7 linked regions of the Cricetulus griseus genome follow. The protein of the gene in region 1 interacts with the protein of each later gene in a pairwise test. Links are inferred from orthologs where the notes say so. Each region holds a gene or a part of one and is shown in the gene's direction. Other genes may lie near its edges. The genes, in order: Bhlhe40; Aanat; Rbfox1; cytochrome c oxidase subunit 5B, mitochondrial; Rhobtb3; Smyd1; Aamp.

Region 1 (4,246 bases):
GTAAATTCAAGGTCAAAATCCGCAGTTGATTCTCCACTGTCTCTAGCACGAAGTCTAACAATGGGAAAGGGGCTCAGTGAATGTGTGCTTCATAAATGTGGAGATTTCACTCTGATAGGCCAAGAGGTTTTTTAAATTTTTTTCCCCTTCTTTTCTCCTCCTGCCCTGGAATAGACCGCAAACAGCGCCACCCAAGTTCCTGGTTAGCAGCGGGATCCCCTGCAGGCTGGCAGCCCCTGTGCGCGGGGGTCACAGCTTGGATGCCGGTGCAGAGGCTTGCAGCGAGCGGAGCTACGACCCGCGTCCGGGCCACGTGAAGCGTCACGCCCCGCGCTGCTGCAGGGCAGGCGCCGTCGCCGCGGTTGTGTAACGCTGCAGCCGGAGGGGAGGCGACCCGGACGCCTCTGCTCCGGAGGGGGCAGAGGAGGGAGGGAACGCTGGGCACTGTGCCCGGTATCTTTCTGTGCTTGACTAGCCAGGGTGGGTGGGGGCAGTGAGGCACCCTGAAAGGCGGGAGGAGATGGGTGCGCGCCAGTCGGGTGCCGGGCCACCCGCAGGCTGCGCCCCGGAGCTGAGCTCCCGGGAGAGTGAGGGGCCGGCGCAGCTCACACGGTCCACGGTCAGGTGCGCGCGGCGTGCTCGGCGGCGGCCTCGGCTGCCCTAGCGCCTGGCCGCCTGCCCGCTTCCCATGGGGTGACATCCGCCCCGCCCTCGGTCCCTCCCCAAGGCGGGCAATTCCTGGACACTGGGGTGAGCGCTGGGGAGGGGGGGGGGCTGGGAAGCGGGGACGGAAAGAAACCCCAGCCTCTGGGGAAGGCCAAGAGGGGGGCGACGACTCCCTCCGCTGCGCACCGGTTCCTAGGAGCGGGCCAGGCGGGGGAGGAGGAAGAGGGCTGGGCTGGAGCGACCGAGGGGATATTCCTCTCCCGGCTTGAGTCAGACGCGGGCGGATCCGTCCTCCCCCGTTCCCTCCCAGGAGACGGGAACTTACTTCATTTCCCTGGGGCAGGTTCGCCCACGTTACCAACCCCCCTCCCCCCCAGTTCCTTCCAGCTTCCGTGCCCCCCACCCAGCTGGGCAGGACTCGGGCTGCGCTGCCACCCCCTCTTTCGGGGAAAGGAGGCCGCAGCCGCAGACACCTGGGGCCCGAGGTTGGGGTGGGGGGGGGCACTTCGCAGCCGCCAGAGCGTTGTCCAACACGTGAGACTCATGTGATGAAGCCGGGGGAGGGCGGGCAGGTCGCTCCTTCCCTCCCCGGCAGCGGCCAGACGTGCTTGGAGTCACAGGGTAGAACACGTAGCTTCTACCCACCCACTCGCTCCCATTTAACCCAGCCCGCAGCCTCTCCTTACTCCTCGGCTCTTCCCCTCCAACAACTCCCCCCCCCCGCTCCGCCCTAAGCAACCTCCCTTCCCTCCCGCCTCCCCGCCCGCCCCACTTCTCATTCACTTGGCTCGCAAGGCGCAGACAGCGCAGCGAGCACACACCGCCAGTCTGTGCGCAGAGCGGGAGCCAGAAGCCGCGGGGACACCCGGCCATGCACGCCCCCAACTAAGCGACGCCTCAAAGCCGCGGCTCCTGGCAGCCCAGCTCATTGCAAGGGAGCTCAGGCTAGCTCAGAGGAACATACCCCTTGAGACCCTCGGATCCTCCCTTCCAGGGCAGTCCTCCCTCGGACGCTCTGCTAAGTGCAGACAGGAGCGCGCAGTGGCCCCGGCTCGCCGCATCATGGAGCGGATCCCCAGCGCGCAACCACCTCCTACCTGCCTGCCTAAAGCGCCAGGACTGGAGCACGGAGACCTGTCAGGGTAAGTGTGCACTGTGACCCCATCAAGTCTCCGCTCCTAGCTATGTATTCTGCGCCTCTCTCAACTTGGGGCACCTCTGGGAACACGGGGATTCTTGCATCAGTAGGGCTCCTGCAGCCAGTGCACACTCGGGAGTCACGGCTCTTTCTGTCCCCTTTCCCTACAGGATGGATTTTGCCCACATGTACCAAGTGTACAAGTCCAGAAGGGGGATAAAACGGAGCGAAGACAGCAAGGTAGGTGCATCCTCTGGGGACCCCTTCCCTAGTCCCTCGCGTGCGCTGAGTTTCCAAGAAAAGTTTGCTTGCCTGGAGGTTGGCTTGGGGGTTCAAGATGTGGTGAGCTCATTGTCACACCTGAGTGACTTGGGAAAGAAGGGACAGAAAAGGTGATTCTGGGTGCGTCTCTGATCTGCGCCCTTGCAGGATTTTTTCCCTGCTGCCGGGAGGGGAGGAAGGGAGGCTTCGCTTTCCCTTTCCCAGGCACCCATCATTCCACGTACTCCTTGCAGGAAACTTACAAATTGCCGCATCGGCTGATTGAGAAAAAGAGACGTGACCGGATTAACGAGTGCATTGCCCAGCTGAAAGATCTTCTACCCGAACACCTCAAACTTACAGTAAGTGAGAAGCTGGCCTTGCTCCAACCCAGCTCTTCTGCCCAGAGGGCGGGTGGGGGTCACTCGCCGCCTGCAGGCGTCACGAGGAACTGCAGGCTAGACGGGCGGATCAAAGCTCCGGGTAGTTCTGGGTTGGAGGGAACCCATCCCTAGTCCCAGGACTTCCAGGCAAAGGCAGAACCATCACTCTCTGAGGCCTCTTTAAGTTGGTTCCAACACTAGCATAGCTCCCTTTTGGTAATTTCCATCGCCTTGTAGTTCTGACTTAAAGGCTCACTCGCACACACAAACACAAATTAAGCCCTTTTCCTTTTCCATCTTCCATCCCGTGTGTGTGTGTGTGTGTGTGTGTGTGTGTGTGTGTGTGTGTGTTTCTTTCCGTCATATCCTTTACTAGTAGCCAAAAGCTTTCTAGCTATTCCTTCGTGAAAAGTATTTGGAAGGGAAGATGAAAAGCCTTCATGAGCTGAAGTTCTAAAAGGCTGTCAGGGAAACACACACACACACACACACACACACACACACACACACACGGGAGGGGAGGGAAAGCCGAGCTGAAGTTCTAAAAGGGTGTCAGGGAAACACACACACACACACACACACACACACACACACACACACACACACACACACACGGGAGGGGAGGGAAAGCCTCCTGGTTGCCAGACACAGTAGATGTTCCTCACTGGGTTGACACCACAGCAGAGAAATGCTATCTCTGGAGTCCCCTGAGTTAAGGTCAGGGCAGCTGCTGGAGAAATCTATCTGTCAGCTCACTCCTGAGACTGTAACAGCTACCAAAAGGCCTCCAAAGATAGATGACACATGTTTTTTTGTTTGTTTGTTTTTAATCCTTTGGTCATCTATGTGTATATGTTAAAACATCTGCAAACTTTAAACTTAGTAAAGCGGGAAAGGCCCTTCCTGTCTTTGCTGTTGTTTACACCCAGTTCTCATCACAAATAAGTGTCTGTGGGGACTTCTCCGACTTCACAGGTGACAGAAGCTCTTTGTTTTTTTCCTCCAGACTTTGGGCCACTTGGAGAAAGCAGTGGTTCTGGAGCTCACCTTGAAGCATGTGAAAGCATTGACAAATCTAATTGATCAGCAGCAGCAAAAAATCATTGCCCTGCAGAGCGGTCTGCAAGCTGGTGAGTGTTGGGTCTGATAGTATCTTCTGAGTGCTCCCTCTTTAGAGCCCTGGGCTCACTGTGCTTCTGACCCTCCTGTCACCATTCACTTTCGCACATCCACTAGAAGAGATGCTTTTCTGTTTCCTAAAAGGTCATACTTTCCATTCAGAATGCTGCTGTGTGCCACCTGGAATGAATACATATTAGTCCAGTGATGAAATGTGACATTTTGGCCTGAGAGTGTCTAGGATCTGGGAGACTTCCCCATTCTCCTTTAAAATGCCAAGACTCCTGTAATTTGCATTGTGGGTGATTTACAGTTGATCTGAGCCGTCGGTCATGGGTGAACAGAACAAGGGTCTGCCCCTAGTGTTTTCCTGTTTCTTTGTTTCCTTGTCTTTGGATATAGGGTGCAGTCTTGGCAGGATGACAGTAGTTTTTTTTTTTTTTTTTTTTTTTTTTTTTCTCCCCTGTATTTCATTGTGGTTCCCTGAATAGCCACTAGGTATCTTGTCGAATTGCACAATCTAGTGAAACCACTGGTTTCATCATTCATTTCTACGGAGTTTCAGAGACTCAGAGACACCGTCTGACCTTCTTTCTCTCCCTTCCAGATCATACAGTACAGGCCAGGGGGAATCCTTTACAAGTACCCCTCAGGCATTCTTCTCTGTCCTGGCCAAGGC
Region 2 (4,156 bases), on another chromosome or scaffold:
GTTTGGGTGTCCTTCTCGGGAACCATCTACTTCATCTTTTGGGATAGGGTCTCTTGCTGTTCTGAAGCTCACCAAGTAGACTAGGCTGGCTAAGGGAGCCAGTGAGCTCCAGGGGTTCGCCCATCCTGTCTTGCCCGTTCTAGGACTGCAGATACTGGCAATGGGTACTGACTCTGGGTTTTTCTTATGTTTTGGGGGGATTGTGCTTAGGCCCTCATCCGGGAGCTATCTCCACTGCCCACCTAAAATAAGAACATTTTTATTCTATTTATTTAATGTGCGTGTGTGGGTGTGAACATGTGTGAGACAGGGGCAACTTGTAGGAATCGGTTCTCCCTCTCACTTGGGTTCCTGGGATCAAACTCAGGTTCTCAGGCTTGGTGGCAAGTCCCTGTACCTGCTGAGCCACCTCACCTTAACTCCCCAGCCCCTTTTGAAGGCAGAGACATGGAAGGCATCTTTATAGGGTGTCATAGGAAAGAGGGTACCCACAGGGGCATCTGCCATGAGTCTAAGCTGGTGGACAGTCTCCCTGAATGCCCCCCATACCAGGCCACTCTCCAGTCTCAGACTCTTTAACCATCTTATCCCTCGTCTCCTGAGCATGACCTAGTCTTGACGTCATCTGGGGAAACGGGCGCTCAGCCTCACATTAATTAAAGAGCTTTTTCTCCTGGACTAAAGTCTGGGGCAACCTAAAAGGAAGGAGAGATGACTCAGAGATTAAGAGTCTGTATCCCTTTCCCTGAGGACTTGAGTTCGGTTCCCAGCACCCACACTGGGTAGCTCCAGCACCAGGCCCAATGGCTCTGTCCTCTGTGGGCTCCTGCACGCATGTGGCATAGCCATCAGATACACCTCCTTTAAAAAACAAGAACCAAACATTCTCATGGCCACTGTACTATCTCATACAGAAAGAAGGCTAGAAGTCTCCTTTTGGGTGAGAGAAGCCTTATGACCTCAGTATCAGAGGCCTGGGTGTCTCCCACAGATTCAGGAGAGGAGGCTGGAGGTTCATGCAACATTGCTCCACTGTCCCCTTGGGCAACAGGGTTGGGGTGGCCACAATCTGCCAAGGCTCAGGTACCTGGAGGGCAGTGGAATCTGTCTGGAGCATTGGACAACTTCTCAGAGGGACCGATAGCTCTTTTGTTGTTGTTGTTTATAATTTATTTATTCTTATTTTATGTGCATTGGTGTTTTGCCTGCATGTGTGTCTGTGTGAGGATGCCCTGGAATGGGAGTTACAGACAGCTGTGAGCTGCCATGTGAATGCTGGGAATTGAACCCGGGTCCTCTGGAAGAGCAGCCAGTGCTTTTATCTGCGGAGCCATCTCTCCAGCTGACCTCTAGCTCTTGAGTGAAAAGAGGAGATACACTAACATTCCAAGTTCCTGGAATTTGCCTGGAGGTCCAGGCACCTGAGGACGGCACTATCCCCAGAGATACCTGACTTACATTCTTCAAGACGAAGGCCAGGCTCCCTGTCTTCTCTCACAGGAGCTTAGAGACCACTTCTGAAGCTGGAGAACCCCAGGGAGGGTTCAGCGACCAGATGCCCATGTTGAGCATCCACTCCCTGGAACCTGAGGCCATGCACCTGCCGCCTGGGACCTCAGAGTTCCTAGGCTGCCAGCGGCGCCACACACTCCCTGCCAGCGAGTTCCGTTGCCTTACCCCCAGGGATGCTATCAGTGTGTTTGAGATTGAGCGTGAAGGTGAGTGGCTCTTGGGAAGGTGCTCGAGGGAACTGTTGTCTTCCCCTGAGGCTCCTGCCTTTGGGAGTTAAATTTGAGAGAGAGAGAGGACTGAGGGAGGGAGGGAGAAAGGGAAGGAGGGAGGGAAGGAGGGAGGGAGGGAAGGTGCTCTCGAGTAGGAGGCAACAGCCCAGAGTCAATGCCTTCCTGGAGGGGGGCGTCTGAGTGACCACTCGTGAACACAAACAGTGAGCAAGTGGCATAGCAAACAGTCGCCCATCCTTGCCTTCCGCCGTAGCCTTCATCTCTGTCTCTGGTACCTGTCCCCTCTACTTGGAGGAGATCCGACACTTCCTGACCCTCTGTCCAGAGCTGTCATTGGGCTGGTTTGAGGAGGGTCGCCTTGTGGCCTTCATCATCGGCTCACTTTGGGACCAGGAGAGACTTACTCAGGTGAGGGCAGGGTGAACTCCTCAGAGATGGAAGTCTCCTTCCCAGCAGGGAGTAAATGCAAGCAGCAGACCCTCCCAAGGCAAGAGCCCTCTGCCCAAGCCTCTACAGCAGGGTTCTCAGTCTTCCTGATGCTTCGGCACTCTAACACAGGTCCTCACGCTGTGGTGACCATAACATTACTTTTTGTTGGGACTTTTATTACTGTAACTTTGCCACTGTTATGAATCGTAATGTAAGTACCTGTTTTCCGACAGTCTTAGGTGACACCTAAAACTGCCGCTTTAGAGTCTCGAAAGACCACTGAAGCTTTGTCTGTAGGAGTGTAGATGTGGCTCACAGTGGGGCCCTGTCAGGGTAAGAAGGGAGCCTGGGCTTCTCCCGGTACCCGGGACACCCTTCCTCTTGGTTAGGGTTGGGTTTGGAGGAGCAGGTTATCAGCAGAAGTAACCCTGACATCGTCCCTTACCCACCCCAGGAGTCACTGGCACTGCACAGGCCTGGAGGCCGCACGGCCCACCTGCACATACTGGCAGTGCACCGCGCCTTCCGGCAGCAGGGCAAGGGCTCTGTGTTGCTATGGCGATACCTGCACCACCTGGGGAGCCAGCCAGCCGTGCGCCGGGCTGTGCTCATGTGCGAGGATGCACTGGTGCCCTTCTATGAGAAATTTGGCTTCCAGGCTGTGGGCCCGTGTGCTGTCACCGTGGGCTCCCTCACCTTCACGGAGCTACAGTGCTCCTTGCGGTGCCATGCCTTCCTGCGCAGGAACAGCGGCTGCTGAACCAGGCTGCCTGCTTGGCCATGGAGAGGTGGGAGCAGCAGGCTGGGGGTTCCTAACTCCCATGCCACACCCTCCTCTGCCTAGAGCCCATCCAAGTAGAGCTGGCTAGCACGAAGGGAGACAGCAGCTGCCAACTGGAGTAGAGAGGTAAGGGTCAGTGAAGAGGACAGGAGGTAGCTCCGCCCCAGGGCAGGCTGCCACCTGCCCCCAAAGGCCCTCTTGCATTCTGAACTGTGCACAAAGCCGAGACCAGGATAGGCAATCAGTGCAATGGCAGGATTGTCCCCACACTTCCTCCTCTACCCACTCTGTTTCTGCATCCCACATCCCAGTGTAGCTCCCTGATTCCTGCGGTCCTTGCCCTCCCCAGACTGACACCCCTTCCTGGCTCCTCACAGGAATGAGGGCCAGCCAGGAGCTTAATTTGAGAAGGGCCTGGGGCTTGGACCTGTGAATGGTGGCGAACTTGGAGTAGGGACATGCTGTGGGGCCACGCCCACTGCACCTGGGCACCAGTGTGCCCACCTACCCGCTCGCCCAGACTTGCCTTCTATTCTGGTTCCCCCTAATAAAGTCCCACTAATAAAGCAGTTATGTCCCAGTGGCTGACTTATGGGTGTGTACAGGGTCTTCTAAGTGAGCTGACTGGAGAAGCAAACACTGCCTGATCTCCCGCTAAGAGTGCCTCTGCCAGAACAGGCCATTTCTGCAGATGGTCAGCCCTCTGACTGCCCGAGAGCAAAGGCAGAGCAGTTGGGGTTAAAAGGTCTCAGGGCTCTACATGCAACCCAGGCCTCGCAGGGTTCTCGGCGTCTTTGTGATGATCGAATCTGGTTTTGGGCTCAACGAAATGCCAGAGAAATCCTAAGTTCTCTAGTTTGCCTCAGCCCCGTGGCTGCTGCCCTCTCACCTAAGTGTTTATTTTTTAAATTAAAAAGAAAATATTTTTGATAGGGTCTTACTAGATAGCTCAGGCTGGTCTAGAACTCACTATGTATACCAGGCTGCCCTCAAGTGCCACCATGCCTAGCTTTCAAAATGAAAAACATTAAAAAACTTTATGTACATGTGTCTGCATGTCTATCTGTGTAGCAAACATACAGATAGAGTTGGATCCCCTGGGACTGTAGTTTCAGGTGAGCCGCCATGTGGGTGCTGGGAACTGAACCCAGGTCTTCTACAAAAGCCGCCAGTGCTTTTAATCTTGCCAGTCTTTGAGTGGTTT
Region 3 (4,369 bases), on another chromosome or scaffold:
TAACGAAATCTACTAATGAATAATTATTACTTCATAAGATAAAGGGGAGGGGGAAAGATCTGCCTGCAAGAGTGGAATGTTAATTTGGCCAAGGAGGCCAGGCAAGAGGGGAAAATATAAAATAAAACCATTTCAATTTGCTCTCTGCATCACGAACAGTAATCTCTTATAAGACAGGGACTTTTGTCTACCCCGTGTATTTATAATTTGAGAAGAGCAACGGGTTCTAGGCTGGGAGAAGGCCCCTTGCATTCACCTCGAGCTGGCATTTTAGTGTAACAGCTGCGTGGATTCTCCAGTTAAGCCGCACCGCTCGGGGCTGCTTGCCCCGGGTAGGCTGATTCCAGGGAGAAAGCAGTGCCCCTAGAGCAGCGGGGGGCGGGGGGGGGGGGGCAGAGACCTCCTCGAGCCCCCACCCCTGCACAGACAGCACCCCAACCCCTGGCGTGTCCATCACCCCCAAGCTTCTTACAAAAGGGGAAATCCCTTTCTTGTGTTTATTTGCCAACGAGTCAGGCAAACAAACCGCCAGCTGAAAATCTCCCGGGCTCCTTAGTGTCCCAGCTGAGCAGTCTTGTTAATGGTCCAGCTCCTTTGATTGCTGGAGATGTGGGGCGCTCATACGTTCGCTCGCCCTCTCCCTCCCATCGGAGGATTTTAGCAGGCAAAATTTAAATTTTGGCGAGTCCTTTTTTAAAAAAAGAAAGAAACCCACAACCCTGCCCCTGGACCTCTTTGACAAATGAGAAGACTCCCAGCATCAGCACCAAGCGAGTGAGCTACAGTGAAGCTGTGAGTCAAAACCTCTCTCTCTCTCTCTCTCTCTCTCTCTCTCTCTCTCTCTCTCTCTCTCTCTCTCTCTCTCTCTCTCTCTCTCTCTCTCCCCAACCCCTCCCCCCTCTTCTCCTCTCCCTTCCTTCCTTCTCCTCCCCCTTCCCTACTACATATCCCTGTCTTCCCTCTCTAGCATCTCTATCAGGGCATCCTAACCCCTGTCTTTCATAGAAGTCGACTTTGCCCATTTTTGTCACCTTTAGGGGGTGGCGGAGGTGGGTGGGATGAGGGGCACCTTCCACTTTAAGAGCGCTCCAACAACAGGCCCAATAAGCCAAGGGGAGCCAACACTACTTCCCAGCCTCTCCAAGTGTCTTTAGTTGAAGGCTGATGAACGCTGGGTACTAGCAAACCCGAGGGCGAGGAGAGCCAGGGAGGAGGGACTCTCTTGGGGTGCGGTGGGGGGAGGGAGAAAGAGAGAGACGAAAGAGGAAGAGAGAGGAAGAGGGACAGCCACTGCTGCGTGAGTTAGATAATCAGCAAAAATTAAAAAGAAAAAAAAAAAAACTGTAGCGACTAGGCAAGAGGGTTAAAAAAAAAAAAAAGCAACGCGATTGTAGATTGTATGTGAGCATCTCCGCTCTCGCTCTGCGGGCACCCGAGAATCGCGATGCAGCATCCTCTGACGGGGGCCACCTGCGTGGCACTCCCCAACGTGGGCATGTGTCCCCAGCTCTCGTGTGCCTTGACTTTTATGTACTTACAGCAGGTAAGACGCGCGGCTCTTTCTCAGCGGCAGCTTCTTCTCAGCTTGACCAGACTGGGTACCGGTTCAGTGGGCTGCGCGTTGGGGGGTGGAGGGTGGGGGGTCTCGATCATTGGGACGAGGTTTGGTGGGAGCTTCTGGTTTTCCGTTAAGCCACGATGCTATTTTAATTCACCTGTCTGAATACTTTGTGAACACCGATTTCCAGCCTCAGGGACCGGGAATTTGAAAATAAAAAACTGGCTTTTTCTTGTGAGCATCTTTTCTCATGTCAGAAGTCCCAGAGGTGGGGTGAGGGGAGATTTCTAGGATGTTGAGAGAGTTTGGGGCTCTGTGAAGACATCCTGATGTTTGTAGTTTTAATTCAGCTGTTTTAATGATTGACACAAAGTGTGCATGTAGTGTGTGTGTGTGTGTGTGTGTGTGTGTGTGTGTGTGAGAGAGAGAGAGAGAGAGAGAGAGAGAGATCTTTGTTAAGTTTGTGTTATCTATCCATCCACAAGAATCAGTACATTGGGATATCTGGAGCTTGACAGCCCCCCTACCCAATCTTCTTTGAAACTCCCCAGCATTGGGTGAGCATGGGTAGATGCTGTCTTGACTGGCCGGAACACAGGGTGGTTTGTTTGCTTCTTTGGTTGTTTCTATAACCCAGGCCTGTCCACTCCCTGACAGTGGTCTTGCCAGATGTCTGTTGGCTTCATTCCCACCCAGTCCACATCTGTGAATTTTTGGATTCAGTTCTTGCTCTGAGTGTCTGCTCTGGGCCTCAATGGGTCTCCTCCTCCCTCTTACTAGAAAGGCTTCTGCCGAGTACAATACTCCGGGGCTTTGGAAACCACCTAACACTGTCCTGTGGGGAAGCAGGCCAGCTGTATCACGGGGCGGGGTCTGTGGCAGTGAGTTGGCAATATTAGAGGGGTTTTGTCTGCTGGTGGGAATCCATGACCCGACTCACTTTGGCCTGTCCTATGAAGTTTTCACCGGGGGTAATCCTTTTGCCTGCCTTTCAATGAATTCACTTTAAGAATAAGATTGGTTACATGTGTGTGTTAACAAAACTTCTTTTCCAAGAGTTGAAAGGAGCCCCTTTCCTCCAAGATGTCCCACTCTAATTTGTGCTACAGAAATATATGTCTTCATAAAATGTCAGGGGTTCTGTTTTGAACATTCGGGTAATTTGTTATCAGCTCGGTTGCCAATTTTTTTCCTCCTCATATTTACTGCTGCTAGTCTTTTTTTGAGAATAGCTCCTTAAAAACATCTTGTGAATAAATTGGTTTATACATGTATTTGTTTTATTTTGTTTCCCATTTAGTCAATCATACCAGGAACCATCTCTTAGGAAGGTATTGATAATATATGTGATTCATCAGCATGTACCATTTCCTTGCCTCAGTTGTGAGTGTGTGTCAAGTGCCGGTGCATTTTACATCAGTTATTTGTCACAGAAACATTCCAGTAAACATTTCTTCAGTTGCTAAACCTCAGCTGGATTGAATCAAACAAATTACTAGAGCAACTGGTTTTTTATCCTATATTTGTGCCTTTCATTTTATTTATGAATCAACTGGATTATGTTATTTAAGACGTAGAATGTTATGAGTGCGCAGTGCTTACTCTGTTTCTGGGGCTTATGTGTTTTAACTAATCTGTATTTCTGCTTCATCATTAAACTGGTTTGCTCATTGAAGAATTTAGGAAGGAGGACAGTGGCTTTGAACAAGAATCTATTCTTCTGTGAAAAGGAAGGGTGCATCATGTGGCACCAATCTTTCCCACTGTGGAATGCACCTGCTTTGGAGAGGAGCCTCACAGGAAGTGCTGGCAGCCATAACAAATATTTAGAGGTGACTAAATCAACAGCACGATTCCCCAGGAAGGTAGATGGGGGACGGTCTTTGAAATGAGGTCTCAATGTGTTCTCCCCACGACTGAGTGAGGCATGGGGTCAGAAAGGTGAGAGTGACAGAAGTATGTCCCTTACTGAGGTTTACTAAAATTCTGAAGTATAAAAAACGGGCAGACATTTATTTTTGCTTGTCCTATTTACAATCAAGGTTTTTAGCTGCCACCACTACCCTTTCCTAAAATTCACTATCAGAGACCTGTGCCTTGGGGTCATCTCTTCTGACCTTTTAACGCCATGATTCAAAGTCAAGGTCAGAAAACTGGCTGATTTACAGAGGAGACAGTCCCTTTCATCTCCACAGGCCACATATCAGTACAGACTACACATCTTCTGCCCGTGTGGAACCACTATACTTTTTTCTGCTACTAATCTATGGCTAATATTACATATCCATGTATTTGATAAGCAGAGAGCTAGTTCATACTTTCAAAGCATATTCATCAAATAGATGACTGAATCATGCTTCATTTATGAATAACAATACCTTCATTAGAAGAATTAAATTTTGTGTGTAGGAAAAAGGTATGTGTCAGAAACCACTGTCCTCTTCATCGCCAGTTTACATACAAAAATAATTAAAATCCTCCTATCTTTTGTGAAACATTTCTCATCCTGTTTTTATCCATGCACACGGTCTCATGTGTTGGGGACTCCTGGGTCCTCACTGAAATATTTTATCTTAGAATGAAGTCTTATATAGGGACTATCTCTTACCCAGCACTCAAGGAAAATGACTCGGTTATATGTGTTCACTGGCCTTGATCTTAACAACCCGTTCCTTCCTAGATACTATAAGACAACTCATGAAAACAAAAATCAATTAGGATGCCTCAGCCTTGAGAACATACACTGAATGTTCAAGTGAAAACAACATAATCTCTTTGCTACAAATAGCTTATTTTTTCAGATCAATGAAG
Region 4 (4,073 bases), on another chromosome or scaffold:
AGAGTTTCTCACTGAACGTGGAGCTCTCCATTTTGGCAAGACTGGCTGTTCAGCCAGACACCAGGATCTCTATGCCTCTGTTTCCCAATGCTGGTATTACAGGTATGGGCTGCCAAACCCAGCTTTATGTGGGCACTGGAGCTCAAACTCAGGGTCCCGTGGTTACATTTTATGGACTGTGCCATTTCTCAGCCTTCACACATCTGATCTTGGTGACCAGAATGAGGGTCAGATTTTCTTGAGCTGGACAAGTCCTGACAAAATTCTCCTCTTTTTAGGGAAATCTATGAGAGTGAGAAGCAAGTATATATTAGATACCTTTTTATCGCTGTGATAAGACACTGTGACCAATGCAACTTATAAAAATGTTGAAAATAATCTACACATGGCAGGTGGCAACACCCAGGAATTTAGTCCTTTGTAGTTGCCCTCAAATTGACCTATAAGCTTTATATTTGGTCCAAACGGCCAGACTTACTAGAAATTATTTGATATTATTATATGCAAGACCTCTACAAGGTATTGGAGCACAATTAGGGAAGCACAGTTGTGTTTGAAAGTCCTCTAGCCGTCCTGCCATGAGTTTTCACAGTTTACCTGCAGTGTGCAGTGGGGAGCAATGGGATGTGTTTTCCGTTTAAATTAGAGACCTCTGTCCACTGTAACTATTGTGATTTCTAATTGCATTATTAACTTTCCTTCCTTCCTCCTTCTAGAATCCTCCTCATTGATCATAACTTCGCAGAGTGGCCACCAGGAGGTATCCTGCATCCATCCCTGGGGCCAACACCATCACTTCTAATGACACTGTTAAAGGAGGAAATTGAGGTGATGCCAATACTTTAATCCCAGCAGGGGTAGCCAGATCTCTGTGAGCTCGAGACCAGTCTGATCAACAAGCGAGTTCCGGGTCAGTCAGGGTTGATTGTACATAGTGATTCCCTGCCTTAAAAAAAAAGAAGGAAGGAAGGAAGGAAGGAAGGAAGGAAGGAAGGAAGGAAGGAAGGAAGGAAGGAAGGAAGGAAGGAAGGAAGGAAGGAGGGAAGGAAACTGAGGCCGAGACTGTGGGGAGGTCCCGTCAAATTCTGACAGGGTGGGACTACGCAACAGATTGGTGATGGCTAATGCTCTGCCTGAGGACCCGAACCGGCGACTAACAGGCACGTCAAACAAAGCTTCCCGAGCTCAAGCCCATCTGTGTCACTTGTGGTGCAGCAAGTCCCCACTGAGGGGGACTTCAGCTTCCAACAGCACCTCCACCACAGGAACGTCAATGTGGCCGGGACACACAGGCGCGAGCACGCAAGCGCAACAGTGGCAAAACCGAAAGCCGCCAGCTGCCATGGTGACTGACGCCACGCCTCCGAGGCTGACGGAGTCTGCGCGGCGGGCGCAGAGGCAGAGCTGCTCATGCGCAGCATCTACCTTAGCGGCCTGGGCAGGCCGGGGGAGGAAGCGGAAGGCTGACTGGTCGTTGACTGACGCCCATCGCCGGAAGTCCCGCCTATCTTGCCGAGCCCGTTCCCGGAAGTGCATCTGCTTGTCTCGGGCGAGATGGCTTCAAGGTTACTTCGCGGAGTGGGAGCTCTGGCGGCGCAGGCCCTGAGGGCTCGTGGGCCCCATGGCGCGGTTGCGACACGCTCCTTTGCTTCTGGAGGTTTGTGGCCAGCTGGGCGCGCCAGGCCGGTGTCCGGGGCCTCGGGGGTGGTTGGTGATGGCGCGGTCGAGCGGGGTCGGCCATTGAGCTGCTTCGGGCCCTGTTGACCACCTCACGCTCCCGGAGTCTGCGCTCCGAGCGGTCTGGCTGTAATTTCGGCCGCCCAGCCCCCGCCCAGGATTGACCCCGATTCTAAAGTGCCCTGACTGGAAGGTGCCGGGTGACCTTGAGAGACAGGGACTGTTGGAGCGGTGGGAAAAGACTGGACCGATTTTGAGATTCCCTGCCCACCTCCAGCCAGCTATCTCTCATTGATTACTTGGTTTTTAGAAAAAGTCGAAAAGCAAGCCTCGGCGGCTGGAGGGGGAAACTTCCCCTAAGGCTTTGGGAGTCATGACTCAGTGGGCTTAGGGGACTGTGGGAATGGGTGACTTGAGAGCCCACCAAAGACGCTTACAATGTCACCTTTCCCGTGTTGATCATTTGAGCGTGTATTCATCGTGGTCCTATCAGTTGGCATAATTCATTTTTCTTCTTTTAGGTGGTGTTCCTACTGATGAGGAGCAGGCTACAGGGCTGGAGAGGGAGATCATGATAGCAGCAGAGAAGGGACTGGTAAGGAAAAACTCCCTGTGTCTTCTGGAGCCCTTGGACTTGGATGGGATCAGAGGAGTCTCCAGTCAGCCAGCATTTGGTCCTGGAAACCCAACTTGTAGGAACAGCCCCTTTGCAGTGTAGTTGCAGGGGATGTCTGTAGTAACTGGTCAATTCTTGCCTTTTTCAGGATCCATACAATATGCTACCTCCAAAAGCGGCTTCAGGCACCAAGGAAGATCCTAATTTAGTCCCTTCCATCACCAACAAGCGAATAGTGGGCTGCATCTGTAAGTACCTTGCCTTTATTGTCTGTCCATTTGTTCATGACCTGCTACACAGAATCTCTGTAAATTGCTTCAGATCTGTGCATGTGACTGACTATATGTGCATAAAAAATACTGGTATAAATTGTCCTAAGTGTTCTGTCTCAAGCCTCAGAATGCATGAGAGCCACTAGAGTCAGATGCCCCTGGAGCTGTAGTTACAAATAAGGTTGTGAGTCATCTGATAGGGATACTGGGAATTGAACTCAGGTTCTCTGGAAGAGCAGTCTATGGTCTTAAAACATGTTGAACCATCTTTCCAGCCCAGATTTTTTTTTTTTTTTAAATGTATACAGTCTTCTGCCTGCATGCCAGCAGACTGTGCCAGATCTTATTCAAGTCGGTTGTGAGCCACCATGTGGTTGCTGGGAATTGAACTCAGGACCTCTGGAAGAATATAGTCAGTGCTCTTAACCGCTGAGCCATCTCTCCAGCCTCCAGCCCAGATTTTATATATAAATATATTTGTATGCCAGGCACTGTTTTAGGCTCTAGAGATACAAATAAGTACTGATCCTGCTTTGGGATTCTGTGTAGGGAATGGAATTGTTAGAACCTACAGTGACCCTGATACAAGGTTATTTTACTCACAGGTAAACTCAGCCCCATTTTTTCATTTGAAAGAGCAGAGTTTGCTTGAAGTGACTTCTTAAAGTCAACCACAGTTTTTTTGGGTTTTTTCTCTAAAGTGTTTGTAGGAAAAGATGAATGTTGTAAGTCTCCCTTTGTACGCTGGAGCTGGATGACTTTGAGCTGCCTTTTCCCTTTCAGGTGAAGAGGACAACTGCACTGTCATCTGGTTTTGGCTGCACAAAGGCGAGGTCCAGCGATGCCCCAGCTGTGGAACCCATTATAAGCTGGTGCCCCACCAACTGGTCCACTGAGCCTCTGTGTTAACTTTTCAGAATGTGATGGAAAGTTTATCTCTAATAAAGACTAGCCATTGTATTGGCTCCTCCCATAGGTGGCTAGTCTTATTTCTGTAGGTTTTATTTGTTTTGTTTGTAGACACGGTTTCTTTGTGTATTCTTGGCTGTCCTGGCACTCACTCTGTAGACCAGGCTGGCCTTGAATTCACAGAGATCTGCCTACCTCTGCCTCCCCAGTGCTAGGATCAAAGGTGTGCTCCACCACTACTGCCCGGCTTCTATAGATTTTTTTTTTATGTTGAGATCAGTTGTTTCTTAATACTGGCTTGACATCTACTGAGAATGTAAAACCAGTATAGAGCTGTTAGATTTTTATTTAATTTTTTTTTTTTTTTTTTATATAAGGATGGTGGGGGCAAAAACCAAGGAAGATTTTAAAGGGTGAAAGCAATGGCAATATTTGGACCTTGCTTGGATCCTGATATGTTTTGTTTGTTTGTTTTGTGTTTTTGTTTTTGTTTAAGATTTTTCTTATGTATACAGAATTCTACCTGCATGTACACACGCAGGACAGGAGAGAACACTAGATCTCATTATAGATGGTGGTGAGCCACCATGTGGTTGCTG
Region 5 (4,214 bases), on another chromosome or scaffold:
TTAAACATCTATGGTGTGAGCTACTCTGGAAATTTGATATAGGAAGACTGCTTAGTAAGCCCTGTAATTCTAGACCATTTTGGACAATATAGTGAAAAACCATCTAAAAAAAGTTCATATTTATGTGTCTCTATGTTTGACTGCTGGGTCCTTGGAGGGGAATGCTGAGAAAAACATGTTTTCTGTTGGTCCAAGAGGAAATGTGACACAGCACATTTGAATCTTCCAGGATGCTTATTTCCAGAGACTAAAAGAAACTGTACTTGGGTACAAAGGGAACTCATTTATTTGAGGCAGGGTTTCACTATGTAACTCTGGCTGTTCTGTAGCTCACTATATAGACCAGATTAGTTTTTGCTTTTTTTTTTTTTTTTTTTTTTCCCCACTGACCTTCTTTACTAATATATGACTAATTACAGCTATTTGGGACGCTGAGGAGGGAAGACTAAAAGTTAGCCTGAATAACACAGAGCCATCTCAGGCAACAAGAAAGGAATAATAAACAAACGACATAGAGAATGTCTCCTGTCCTGCCCTACCTATGGACAAGTAACTAAAACACTGTTTCAGACTAGCAATACTGGTTCCTAATAAAAAGCTGCTGACACTACCTCAGTCTTCCCAGGACCCTTTCAAACACCTCCTGTTTCCCAAAACGGGTCCATTGAGAAAAGAAAAAAAGCCCAATTTCAAAGCAGAGCCAATAACTAAAAGGATAAACAAGAACATTTTTAACAGGGTTTTGGGTGTTTGGGAGAATTTTAATGTTTATGGAGGAGCCCCAGAGTAAATCCTGGCCCGTCCTAGCATCAGCAGTCTCTCATGGTGTTTTATATTGGAGGCAGCCTGAGGCCCTTTAAAAGGGGCATCCGAAAGCGTTATTTCTGCCTGTCACTATGAAAGAATCGAAAGTATCCTTCCATTAACATGGTCCTTATTTTTCAGTGAGCTATTATTAAATAATGTAACTGGAATGTGTGCTGAAAAGAATCCAAATAAACTGCTAGAACTTTCTTTTAAAATAATCACATTAAAAAATCCCGACACTTTAAATTCCGCAATTTTGGTTAAAGTATGCCAAATATAGCTTGCAATAGTAAATGACCTTTTCAAAGCGACATCGACAAATTAATTGGTGCGTGAACAAAGAATCTTTTCTGCAGCTTCATGAATGTTGCCTTTATTTTCTTTTGCTTCCCAACTAGGATTTTTACAAAACAGTGTAGCGCATGCTGACCACTGACAAAACGATAACACACTGCGGGTGAGGGCCAACGTGGGCACAGGACCTCGGGATCGTCAGGGGGCTGCCCCCCAGCCCTGCTCTCCTCTGGTCCCCGGCGGGGGCCAAGCTGCCCCTCCCCCGCTCCCGGCTCGGGTTTCAGCCTTCCGAGTTGAGCAAACTTGCTGCAGGCGGATTGGCGGCGAGCAGCTCCCGGGCTCCGGCGTCGTCCCCGCGCCCATCGCTCCTTTGTATCCCGCGGCCGCCGCCCGAACTCGTGGGGGAGGGGGGGTACGGGCAGGCAGCTCGCTCCCCTGCGCGGCGGACTCTCGGGGGGACACGTGCGGGGCCGGGTCACCGCGCGGCGGAGGCGGAGCCGGGGCGGAGGCGCGGCGGCCAGGGGCGGCGACCGGGGATCTGCAGCGCTGCCCGCGCCCGCGCCGGCCGCTCTCCCGGGCCCGCTCTGCTCAGCGTTGGCAGCGCCGCGGTGCAGGCGCGCGAGGGCCGCGGCCGGGGATGAGCTGACTGCGGGGAGAGCGTCTACCCGGTCCTCGCGAGGCGAGGCCGCCCGCTGCCGTCTCCCCGCCGCCCTGCCAGCCGCGATCATGTACGTACGCGTCGCCGTCCTGCCACGGTCCGGGTTCCGGACGTGCCACGCGCCCTGGCTGCGCCCACCCGCTCACCGCGCCTCTCTCGGCTTCGCAGGTCCATCCACATCGTGGCGCTGGGGAACGAAGGCGACACGTTCCACCAGGACAGCCGGCCGTCGGGGCTCATCCGCACCTATCTGGGGAGAAGCCCGCTGGTTTCGGGGGACGAGAGCAGCTTGTTGCTGAACGCGGCCAGCACGGTCGCGCGCCCGGTGTTCACCGAGTACCAGGCCAGTGCGTTCGGGAACGTCAAGCTGGTAGTGCACGACTGTCCCGTCTGGGTAAGGGGCAGCGACTACGCGGTGTCCAGGCCAAAGGAGCCTGTTGTTGTTTGGACCCCTCCTTCCCTTGTTTCCTATTTTCCTGACTGCCTGGAGAGAGGGTTGGTTTGCTTTTTTACTTTTCCTTTTTTTTCCTTTTCTTTTTCTTTTTTTTTTTCTTTTTGGCAAATCTCGTCCTTTGTTTCAATTTGGAGGTGGTGGGGCACACGTCTGCAAAGTTGAAAGCCCCAGGGGAACGTAGAGCAGTCACTGTGCTTCACGACTGTGACTTGTCCATTAGTAGACAGCTGAGAGTTGACTGGGCCAACCCCAAGGGACGGGGTCACGAAGTTCCACTGGCCAAGAGACATGTTTTCATGTCCACCCTGTGGAGGATAGGGAAATGTGTTCTATAAATACCGCTCAGCATAGGCAAAAATATTCTTCTCAGGGACAGGTCAGAAATAGTATGGAAAAAGGGAGAAAGGTCGGGGTTTGAGAACTAAGTTTAAATGGCTCGTTTTGTAGACTATTGACTTCTGGAAAAAAATCTAGTTCTTAGTGATGCAATACTCATCGGTTTGGCTTTGTTTTTAATGATTAATAAATCAGAAATACCACTAACATTACCTAGCATAAAAAAATCTTTATGTTTATGAGAGTTTGAATGAAAGAAATCTATTCTGACTCTCGAGTGTTTGATGAAAGGACAAAGGAGGCTTAGGTATCTTCATCACACAGTAACACTGTATTTCAAGTGTTTTTGTTTACTTTTAAGTAGGTGGTTGCTTGCTAATAGTGTAGTTATATGTGCTTCAGCTAAAGATAAATATATATGAATGAAACATTGGGGTCTCAACCAAGGCACAAATTATGTAAAATTCTTACATTCAAAAGGCGTCTTTTCTTTTCTTTTCTTTTTAATTTATTTATTAGTTCTAGTTAGGGAACAAGCTTGTTTCACATGTAAGTCCCTTCTCCCTCTCCCTCTCCCTCCCCTCACCCCCATTCCTCCTCCCCCACCCCCAGCCTACCCCCACTCCATCCACCCACCACTCCCCAGGCAGGGTAGGACCCTCAACGGGGGCTCTGCAAAGTCCACCAAATCTTCCTGTGCTGGTCCAAAAGGCATTTTTTTTTTTTTTAAGCTGAATCAGAGCTCAGGGTAACTAGCTTACTTTTGAACAGAAATGTGTAGAATGTACTGAGAAAAATTTCTTGAGCATATTTTCCTATTATGGAAAGAAGGCACCCCTTTTACTGGAAATGTATATTAATGTGCTAAAATAAATTTTAAGTAAACTTTTCAATTAAAAGGATGGACTTAGCCTTCAGGTATGACAGAGATGATGGTATCCAAAGATGCCACTAGGGAGGACTTAAGGACTGATGTATGTGCCAGGACATTCACTTTGGGCCCTTTTATTATGAAAGATTTAATGGCCTTCAACTATTACTTGTTCAACATACTGTTGAACAAATGTTTAGTTGATTGAGGAAATAAATACAGAGCAAAAATAAGATGACTAGGAGTGTTGGGGCTGTTTTTCCTCATTTTTTGGGGGGGGGTTGAGTTGTTAACCCTTTCCTGCCTGTGTTCCTTTAGCAAAGAGCCGCACATTGTATAAGAATAAAATAGGTGAAACAAAATCTGTGACACCAAGATTGTCACCAGGTACAATTTCCCAGATTAGGATGGGTGGGTCTTCAGACACAGTGAGTTGCATGCGTAGAGTCACTCACTCTGAGCTGCTGTTTCCCCTTTAACATAAGTAAATTCTGCCAGAAATATGAAGGTGGGTTATACCCATCAGCTGTTTTGGCATAGGTACTGAATCATAGTATCAAACACAGCACTTTTGACAGCAAAGAGAACTGATTTCAGATCCCACATTGCCACTGCATATGTTTTTTTGTTTGTTTTGTTTTGTTGTAAATCTTTTACCTTCTCTTAGGCTTGTTTTCCTGTCTATCCTGGAACCGTGCTGAAGGGTAAAGTCCCAAGTGTGGAGGCTGTAGGTGCTAAAAGTGATAGCTGCTATAATAAAGTGCATATTATAGCTTTAGTGTAGTCATATATTA
Region 6 (3,702 bases), about 27 Mb from region 1:
AGGCTTAGTAGCAAGTGCTACTGCATCATCTGAGCCGTCTCACCAACTCTTAAATTTTATTGAAAAAACTAAAGTGTGTGTATCACTATTGAGTTATACCCACAGCCTCTAGTATTTAACATTTGAAGCACAGAAATTGATGAGAACTGTGTTCCATAATTTTTTTGGTTAGTACACAATATAGGTAAAATTTTCAAGTATGAGATACAGATGTGTATATATGAATAAAAATATGAAGAGTCGCTGTTAGAATGTTCTAAAACATCAGTTTGGAAATAAGATATCAGAGAAGTCCTAAGGGATCTCTGAACAGAAATGTGTGGAGTTAAAAGTGACAGGTAGCATGACTGTGTCTGTGTCTAACCTGTCCTCTTCAGATCCTGTCCTGGTCCATTCCTTTGCCTTCCTGCCTTAAGTTGGTGTTTCCCAGCCTGAGGCGGATACTTGTCCGGCTTCTTTCCCAACCTACGTCAGGCTCTCAGACTTGTGGAAGACTCCAAGCTCAGGATACCAGTATAAAAGATGACCAGACAGTTCAAAATGACCTTGGAAGTTTGGAATGCCACACTGAGAGCAGCTGGAATAAATGTGAAGCTTACACTTCCAGTTAGACAACCGAGTGCCCTGAGTGGCTCTCTGGCAGTGAGATCTGGGGCTATCTTAATGCAGTATATGTCAGAACCTAGCATAGAGGTGGATTGGATGCTTTGGGAGACCGACATAAGCCTTTAGGGAGCACAGCAGAATTCTACAGTTTAGACCTCAATGGTACCCCAAAAGGCCCAGTGTTGAAGGCATGGTCCCAGCCTGTAGCACTGCTGGGAGTAGTGGATCCTTTAGGAGGTGGGAAGTGTGCCTGTGAGGGGGTGTTTTTCCCAGCTGCCAGGAGGTGAGTGACTTCCTCTGTCATGCACACTTGTCATGAAGGCCTAAAAGCAAGGGACCACCGACCAAGGACAATAACTCTGAAGCTGTGACTTAAAACTTTCCCTATTTGTAAGCCTTTCTTCTCTTAAAATGGATTATTTGGGGGCATTTTAAAATTATACTTCTCTCTCTCTCTCTCTCTCTCTCTCTCTCTCTCTCTCTCTCTCTGTCTCTCTCTCTCTGTCTCTCTCTCTCTCTCTCTCTCTCTCTCTGTGTGTGTGTGTGTGTGTGTGTGTTGAACACATGGGTGAACACTGTGAAAACTGTCGAAGGACAGTTTGCAGGAATTCTTTCTTCTTACTGTGTGAGTCCTCAAGATTTAACTCATGTTGTCAGCCTTGGTGGCAAATAGTTCTATCCACTGAGCTATGTCTGCAGCTTATCATTATTATTATTATTATAATATATGGTTATTGTTATTATTGTTGCCATTATTATTATTACTACTGTGCTAGGGATTGAACCCAGGACCTTGTCTATGCTGAGCATGCTACCGCTAAGCTACAAGCTGGTTCCATATGCATACATGGGAGAGTAGCTCCACTCTGACATCTTGATTAACCCTCCCTCCTGAAGACCCCACTCAAAACACATAGTCTAAGTGTTTCCACTGCCTCCACACTTCTAAATGGCAATTACAACTCACACATCTAGACTGTACTCCAACTGTAGCAGGGCGTATGGAAAGGGCACTTTACTGGCAGGCAGGAGACCTGGGTTCCAGTTTTGACTCAGAATATGGTCTTTACCATTTTGAATTTTAGACTTGCACTTTTCAAAACGAAGGTCTCATGCTAAATGTCTCTTCTGGATGAAATTAATCCTTGAGCAGACAATTTTAACTGTGAGCAAAGTAAATCTGTTTTCTTCTTTTTGTTGTTCAGACTGGCTTCAAACTCTCCACCCTCACCTCTGTCTTCCAAGTGCTGAGGTTTCAGGTATGCTGTCCGCCAGGCTAGGTCTCTTTTCTTTATGGCTTACCTAGTTTGTGGTAATGTGTTATCTGCAACAAAATATGGCCAAAGGCATCCCCTGTTTTTAAAATGATTTAATTTTTATTTTTTAAATATGTGAATATGTGTAGCCAGGCTGGCAAAAAAAAAAAAAAAAAAAAAAAAAAAAAACCAAAACCTCCTGATCTTCCTGCCTGTGCCAGGATGCACCACCACAACTGGTGTGAATGTGTGTATATGTAGGTGTAAGTGTGTGGCCACTGAGGCCAGAGGTGTCAGATTGCCTGGAGCTGTCATTACAGGTGGTAATGAGCCACCCGCATAAATGCTGGGACCAAATGCCTATGCAAGAGCAGTATTTGATCTTAGCTGCTGAGCCATCTCTCCAGCCCCAGCCCTTCTTCTTGACTTGAATTTCCCCCCTCTCCACTTTCAGCCTCATTAACGTTGTGTGCCACACCTGCTTCAAGAGGCAGGAGAAGCTCCACCGCTGTGGCCAATGCAAGTTCGCCCACTACTGCGACCGCACGTGCCAGAAGGATGCTTGGCTGAACCACAAGAACGAGTGTTCCGCCATCAAGAGATACGGGAAGGTGCCCAATGAGAATATCAGGTTGGAGCTGGTCCCTATGATAGGGCTTGGGATTTCCAAATGTCAGGCTGGGTCAGCAGAGGTGATAACAGCAGCATTCCCAGCCCTCAGGATGCCAGGCTGAGTGCAAAGGTCTCAGGTCCTTAATTGCACTCACCCCGTTAGGTCCGAGACAGACACTGGGCATCTATAGCAGTGAGGAAAGGCCCACAGGCCCCTGCATAGCTCCTCAATATTTAATTACAAAAAAACCCTGATCTTCCAAACTTTACACATTGTGGAAAATTATTTCTGGTTTCTCTGGAGAACAAGAATAAAAATGAAGTTCTGACAAGATGCATTGCAGCTAAACAGCATGTGTCTTAAGAGGCGGTTTTCCAAGTCAGTGAGCTCGCTGTACAATGTCCTTCTTGCAGCCCAGACACAGGCACTGACAATGCAGACCTCCACAGGAGCCACTGCTAGGACCTCAGCCTAGCACTAGAGTTCCAGCTGAGAGCTCCCAGGTGCTGCTGGCCCTGCTGGCGTTGTCCGTGCTGGGATGTGGTTAGGTGTGTAGGCTGACCTAGGAGCAAAATGGGTGAGGATACTGGTAATTAAAAGCATTTGCAGGGTGTATGGGGCATGCCAATCAAGAACGGGGCCATGGAAACTTTCAGGAATCTACAGGATGAAACTCCATTAGCCTCAGCAGCCTCCTTGTTCTATCTGCTGGAGTCATATTCTTCAAGACCTGAGACTCCCGATCTCATTCCTCGGCGCAAATCCCACTCACTGATCACATCTATTACCGACCTGAAATCTGTCACCCATTGTTCTTTCTTCTTGGGACCATATCCCCAGATACTAATCTTTCCCACACCATAACCTGAACCTTACTTTCCCCATGGTGCTCTGGGCTCTGTGTAGAAACTTTTGATTCCCAGGCACCTGGATAACCTAGAAGTGCACATTTGTTGTTGTTGTTGTTTTTGGAGACAGGGTTTCTCTGTGTAGCTTTGGAGCCTGTCCTGGAAGTAGCTCTTGTAAACCAGGCTGGTCTGGAACTCACAGAGATCCACCTGCCTCTGCCTCCCGAGTGCTAGGATTAAAGGCGTGCGCCACCACTGCTCAGCTAGAAGAAGTGCACATTTCTAAGAATAATTCTTACCCAAACAGAAAGAAGTAGGGCCCGCACTGTGCCAAGCAAGAGGAGAAATCTCTCCCTGCAGGAGCATGTCTTCCTGGACC
Region 7 (4,467 bases), on another chromosome or scaffold:
ATCAGCTCAAGTTGCTCCACCGTAAGACAGTCTCCTCAAAGTTCCCCTCACCATCTCACCCCCATCTCACTCTGAGCTTCTATCCCTGGAACCCAGCGATTCTCTTCCTTTGGACTCAGCTCATCATCTGCAACTTAAGTTTCTAGGTTGACATCCATCCCTTGCGTGCATTCCCCACTGGTAGGCAAAGGGGCAGTTAAAACTCACCAGGCTAGTCCCACAGCTTTCATGGGGTTCTTGCCCCTCTTTCTGGGGATGTATTCCAGCTCAGGAGAGAGGGGCTCAGGCTCCTCCTTGCATTCCGGTGAGCTGTGGCTCTGCAGTGCTCTGGTCCTGTTCTGGGAAGCCTTGTTAGCTGTGGCTCCAGAGAGAATCCCTGTGAATAAAAGAACGGTGGGGGTAGGTCAGTATAGGATGAGGGAGGGGAGGAGCGGCTGAGTTTTGAGGGAGGGGAGTGACTGCAGTTTGGAGTAACAAGTGCTGTGAAGAATCCAAAGAGAAATGGGAAAATCGCCATCGAGGTGACACCTTTGGAAGCTACTTCCACGTCACTGCGGGATCCTCATCCTCGTGCCAGGACAGCGAGCTTTGCTGCTTTCTATTCAGAAGACCGGTTGGGAAGGACTGCAGAGACATACGTATGAAGGAAATCCTGGGAACTGTTTTAAAACTACAGGACCTTAGCTATTCCTAAGGATAGCTAACTCCATCCCCTCGTATTATAGAAGAGGAAACTGAAGCCCCGAGAGACGAGCTGCTCCGCACAAGGTCAAACCGCTAATTACCCAGTGCTAGAACTCAAGCCTCCAGAAGCCCAGGGCTCGCTCTTCTGCACTGCGGTGAGTGTGAAACCCCTGGAACGCGCGGGTGACGAAAGGCTTCTTTGGGACTCCCTCTATCAACAAGACCCTAGACATGCAGTGTAACCTGAACGCAGGGGTTAGATTGGGTGACCTCTAGAGCATCTTTCACCCCCAGACTCTCTAAGATCCTGCCGAGAGGTATGGACAGCAATTAGCAGCCTGACTTCCTGCTGTCGTGCTGGGTGGAATGTGAAGGGAATGGGATCTTTTAGAGCCCTGCCCTCCCGGGGGTCCCTCTCCTTACCCCGGAGGACGCGGGCATTTCTGGCCCCCCGGCCCTTCAGCGCCGTAGCAGCTACCACCGCCGCCATGTTCAGGTCCCACCCCCCTTCACTGCGCTCCCCGCCGGGAATTGTAGTTTGCGTAAGGGGCCTCCCCCGCGCCTTCCGTCGTGCCTACAGCTCAGAAACTACATTTCCCAGAAGTCCGCGTAGCGGGCCCGGGAGAACTACTCCTCCCAGGAGACCCCGGAGGCGCGCACGCTCGCTTGTTTCCCTCCAGCTGGGGGCGGAGTCATGTCGGGAGGAGCTTGGGTTCTCCCGCCACGCCCCGGCCTGGTCATCCCAGTTCTGCCTTGTGATTGGCGGCTCTGTCAGCCCACCTCCGTCGCTATTGGTCCGGATTCCGTCGCTCTTTCGGCCGGGAGTCGCCTACGCCTACTTCCTCCCGGGAGGAGGGGCTCGAGTTCCGCGTCGTCGCGCAGAGCTGACTCTGGGAGGCGTTTGGGCCCAGAGAAGTGGATCGGTAGGTTTCGCCGCATGGAGTCCGAATCGGAGAGCGGAGCGGCCGCTGACACCCCGCCGCTGGAGACTCTAAGCTTCCACGGAGATGAAGAGATCATTGAGGTGGTAGAGCTGGATCCAGGCCCGCCCGACCCGGGTGAGAACTGTCGCTCCTCAGGCCATGGGACAGGAGGCGCTCACCCCTGGCCTCTGACCCCTGCTTCCTCCCCCTCCCCCCTTCCCTACCGGTCGTTCCTACCGACATTTCTCTCCCAGCCCTCCTTCCCTACCCCCCACACTTAGTTTCGAGGCCTGGCTGGGTGGGGGTTCCCTGACGCCTCCCCTGGCCCTTCCCCTCACACACCCCCTTCCCGTCATGCCCTCTGTCCTCTCTTCCCACACGGTCGCTGGCCAACGCCAGGTCTTCAGACCTAGCCTCTCTCCCCTTCTCCGCCCCCCAAGCGCTCTCCTCCTCCTCGGTACGTGTGGGACGACACCTTAACCTTTGGCCACATGACCCACTCTGGCGTCGTCCTATTCACTCTTCACCCCATTCCTCTTATATCTTTCGAGATCCATCTTTTAACGCTTTTCCCAAAGCAGATGATCTGGCCCAGGAGATGGAAGACGTGGACTTTGAGGAAGAAGAGGAGGAGGAAGAGGGCAATGACGAGGGCTGGGTCCTGGAACCCCAGGAAGGGGTGGTCGGCAGCATGGAGGGTCCGGATGATAGCGAGGTCACCTTTGCATTGCACTCAGGTAGGCCTTTGAAGGGGCTCACCTCAGATCAGTGCAGATGGACTTTTGAGTATGACCAGTTGGCCCTGAACAGGATATTATGAGAGACAAATAGGAAAGCCTGCAGGAAATTCACAGGAAGGACCAAAGGGATTAGATTTGGCAGTGGTGTCAAGTGAGACACCTAGGTTCAAATCCTACCTCTGCTGTTTATCACCTTTGTTAGCTTTCTGGATCTTGGTGTTCCTTTTTAAAAAGTCAACTTGGTAGTGGTGGTGGTGGTGCACACCTTTAATCTCAGCACTTGAGAGGCAGAAGCAGGTGGATCTCTGAGTTTGAGGCCAGCCTGGTCTACACAGAGAAACCCTGTCTGGAAAAACAAAAGAAGTCCTCTTAGATGAAAGTGAATGGACGTAATCCTGGTGGAAATTAAAGGCAAGTGACACTCCAAAAGTAGCCTTAACGATAATCTTCTCAGGAGCTAGTTCTTTGTAAGCCAGTCTCATGAGGCTCCCATCACTTAATTCATACCCAGCCTGGTGGAACCCTGTGCTGTTAGCTGTGCCCATGGACCCACCGCTTGGCTTGTACCTCAGAGTGGGATGGTAATGGGAACAGGACAGCAGCAGGAGGAGGACTTGTGAAGGATTTCCCTAACAACCTAATGCTTCAGACAAGAACTGGGTCTTGCTACTGGGTGTAGCCTGTCCAGGAGAGAATACCTGTGGCCTTGGGGAAAAGGGGTGTGCCTCCCCAAAGGTTTTGAAGACCAGAACTCTAGGTGAGAGCCCAGTTCCATCCCCTTTCTTGTGGACTATCTCTTGGGACAGCATCTGTGTTTTGCGTGAGCCTGGACCCCAAAACCAACACCTTGGCAGTGACAGGGGGTGAAGATGACAAAGCCTTTGTGTGGAGACTCAGTGATGGAGAGCTGCTCTTCGAGTGTGCAGGTAAGAGGCTGGGAGGTTGTGTCCCTCTGGACATCTTGGCAGGTGGCCTGTGTGAACGCACAGCGGCTATTTACTAGCCTTTGTCTTGTGCTGGATCCAGGAACCCACACTAGAAGAATAACTTTTGTGGGCACTTGGACAGGAAGTGCTAATTGGCCAAAGGAGTGTGGCTAAGGTGGGCACGGGAGGAGGTGGTACTGTGTAGGAGTAGATAGAGGCACGGAGAACAGAAGACAGAAGTATGGCCTGGGAGTCCCAGGCTTTGGGTGGTTGAACAGTGGGGTCAACAGTATCTTCTTGGAACACCTGGAGTTTCTGGGCCCTGGAGCTACAGTGAGTTTGGTCACTTGTTCTGCTGAGGCCCTCCTACCTTTTTTCTAGTTAGTTGTTTTTTAAAAGGTAGCCAAATATATGGGTCATATGTCCCCAGCATTTAGACACCTTTTACTGTCCTTCCTTTTCTGCCACTTTTTCTTTTAAGTTACATAGTTTGGGTTGGCCTTGGATTTACTATGTAGCCAAGGCTAGCCTTGAACTTGCTACACCTCAGGCACATTTGAACTGAAAGTCTGCCCATTTCTCTTTGCAGGCCATAAAGACTCTGTGACATGTGCTGGTTTTAGCCATGACTCCACCCTAGTGGCCACAGGGGACATGAGTGGTCTTTTGAAAGTGTGGCAAGTTGATACTAAGGAAGAAGTCTGGTCTTTTGAAGCAGGAGACCTGGAGGTGAGATCCTTGGAGTGGGCTTCAACTCTGTGGGACCTCAAGTAGGGATGAGCACTTCTCAGAGGGGGAGGGGCAGGCATAGCCATACTGGAGAAGGTTGCTTTGAACCATAGTAACCATAGTAGCTCAGCTTCAGCACTATGTCTGTTCACCAGTAACGTACATGCTAACCCTAGAAGCAGGGACACATGGGTGGGGTTCATGGACTCTCAGATTGGCTGGGTAGCAGGCTTGCTTGCTGATCCTTCCTCTCTGCCCAGTGGATGGAGTGGCACCCTCGGGCACCTGTCCTATTAGCGGGCACAGCTGACGGCAACACTTGGATGTGGAAGGTACCGAATGGTGACTGTAAGACCTTCCAGGGCCCCAATTGCCCTGCAACCTGTGGCCGTGTCCTCCCTGATGGTGAGAGCAGCTGTCTCTTCTTCCTGAGGGTAGAGGTGGATCCAGTGACTTGGGGGGTAT

Evidence for each region.
Region 2: the proteins of Bhlhe40 (region 1) and Aanat interact in binary tests that used the Homo sapiens proteins (3 or more experiments, as listed by UniProt). The two-hybrid records come from large-scale screens. The link is inferred for Cricetulus griseus from reciprocal best matches to the Homo sapiens genes BHLHE40 and AANAT.
Region 3: the proteins of Bhlhe40 (region 1) and Rbfox1 interact in binary tests that used the Homo sapiens proteins (3 or more experiments, as listed by UniProt). The link is inferred for Cricetulus griseus from reciprocal best matches to the Homo sapiens genes BHLHE40 and RBFOX1.
Region 4: the proteins of Bhlhe40 (region 1) and cytochrome c oxidase subunit 5B, mitochondrial interact in binary tests that used the Homo sapiens proteins (3 or more experiments, as listed by UniProt). The two-hybrid records come from large-scale screens. The link is inferred for Cricetulus griseus from reciprocal best matches to the Homo sapiens genes BHLHE40 and COX5B.
Region 5: the proteins of Bhlhe40 (region 1) and Rhobtb3 interact in binary tests that used the Homo sapiens proteins (3 or more experiments, as listed by UniProt). The two-hybrid records come from large-scale screens. The link is inferred for Cricetulus griseus from reciprocal best matches to the Homo sapiens genes BHLHE40 and RHOBTB3.
Region 6: the proteins of Bhlhe40 (region 1) and Smyd1 interact in binary tests that used the Homo sapiens proteins (3 or more experiments, as listed by UniProt). The link is inferred for Cricetulus griseus from reciprocal best matches to the Homo sapiens genes BHLHE40 and SMYD1.
Region 7: the proteins of Bhlhe40 (region 1) and Aamp interact in a two-hybrid assay, tested with the Homo sapiens proteins (2 studies listed by BioGRID and IntAct). The link is inferred for Cricetulus griseus from reciprocal best matches to the Homo sapiens genes BHLHE40 and AAMP.

Annotation. Positions count from the first base shown.
Region 1 is NC_048601.1:35,827,386-35,831,631, reverse strand, and holds the start of Bhlhe40 (class E basic helix-loop-helix protein 40), read left to right. Parts: upstream 1-1,405; 5' UTR 1,406-1,728; coding exon 1,729-1,808; intron 1,809-1,974; coding exon 1,975-2,044; intron 2,045-2,319; coding exon 2,320-2,427; intron 2,428-3,454; coding exon 3,455-3,578; intron 3,579-4,246. UniProt on the Homo sapiens protein: Transcriptional repressor involved in the regulation of the circadian rhythm by negatively regulating the activity of the clock genes and clock-controlled genes.
Region 2 is NC_048600.1:129,173,526-129,177,681, forward strand, and holds Aanat (serotonin N-acetyltransferase), read left to right. Parts: upstream 1-1,274; 5' UTR 1,275-1,555; coding exon 1,556-1,718; intron 1,719-1,995; coding exon 1,996-2,150; intron 2,151-2,625; coding exon 2,626-2,931; 3' UTR 2,932-3,509; downstream 3,510-4,156. UniProt on the Homo sapiens protein: Controls the night/day rhythm of melatonin production in the pineal gland. Catalyzes the N-acetylation of serotonin into N-acetylserotonin, the penultimate step in the synthesis of melatonin.
Region 3 is NC_048600.1:39,617,856-39,622,224, reverse strand, and holds the start of Rbfox1 (RNA binding protein fox-1 homolog 1), read left to right. Parts: upstream 1-1,444; coding exon 1,445-1,543; intron 1,544-4,369. UniProt on the Homo sapiens protein: RNA-binding protein that regulates alternative splicing events by binding to 5'-UGCAUGU-3' elements. Regulates alternative splicing of tissue-specific exons and of differentially spliced exons during erythropoiesis.
Region 4 is NW_023276807.1:11,509,158-11,513,230, reverse strand, and holds cytochrome c oxidase subunit 5B, mitochondrial, read left to right. Parts: upstream 1-1,500; 5' UTR 1,501-1,554; coding exon 1,555-1,657; intron 1,658-2,198; coding exon 2,199-2,272; intron 2,273-2,441; coding exon 2,442-2,541; intron 2,542-3,348; coding exon 3,349-3,461; 3' UTR 3,462-3,540; downstream 3,541-4,073. UniProt on the Homo sapiens protein: Component of the cytochrome c oxidase, the last enzyme in the mitochondrial electron transport chain which drives oxidative phosphorylation.
Region 5 is NC_048595.1:297,070,940-297,075,153, reverse strand, and holds the start of Rhobtb3 (rho-related BTB domain-containing protein 3), read left to right. Parts: upstream 1-1,398; 5' UTR 1,399-1,827; coding exon 1,828-1,829; intron 1,830-1,927; coding exon 1,928-2,153; intron 2,154-4,214. UniProt on the Homo sapiens protein: Rab9-regulated ATPase required for endosome to Golgi transport. Involved in transport vesicle docking at the Golgi complex, possibly by participating in release M6PRBP1/TIP47 from vesicles to permit their efficient docking and fusion at the Golgi.
Region 6 is NC_048601.1:62,933,047-62,936,748, reverse strand, and holds part of Smyd1 (histone-lysine N-methyltransferase SMYD1), read left to right. Parts: intron 1-2,316; coding exon 2,317-2,493; intron 2,494-3,702. UniProt on the Homo sapiens protein: Methylates histone H3 at 'Lys-4' (H3K4me), seems able to perform both mono-, di-, and trimethylation. Acts as a transcriptional repressor. Essential for cardiomyocyte differentiation and cardiac morphogenesis.
Region 7 is NC_048595.1:427,521,340-427,525,806, reverse strand, and holds the start of Aamp (angio-associated migratory cell protein), read left to right. Parts: upstream 1-1,529; 5' UTR 1,530-1,621; coding exon 1,622-1,742; intron 1,743-2,185; coding exon 2,186-2,344; intron 2,345-3,153; coding exon 3,154-3,273; intron 3,274-3,862; coding exon 3,863-4,002; intron 4,003-4,262; coding exon 4,263-4,407; intron 4,408-4,467. Other genes in the region: probable hydrolase PNKD, read right to left, coding at 208-376, 1,108-1,174. UniProt on the Homo sapiens protein: Plays a role in angiogenesis and cell migration. In smooth muscle cell migration, may act through the RhoA pathway.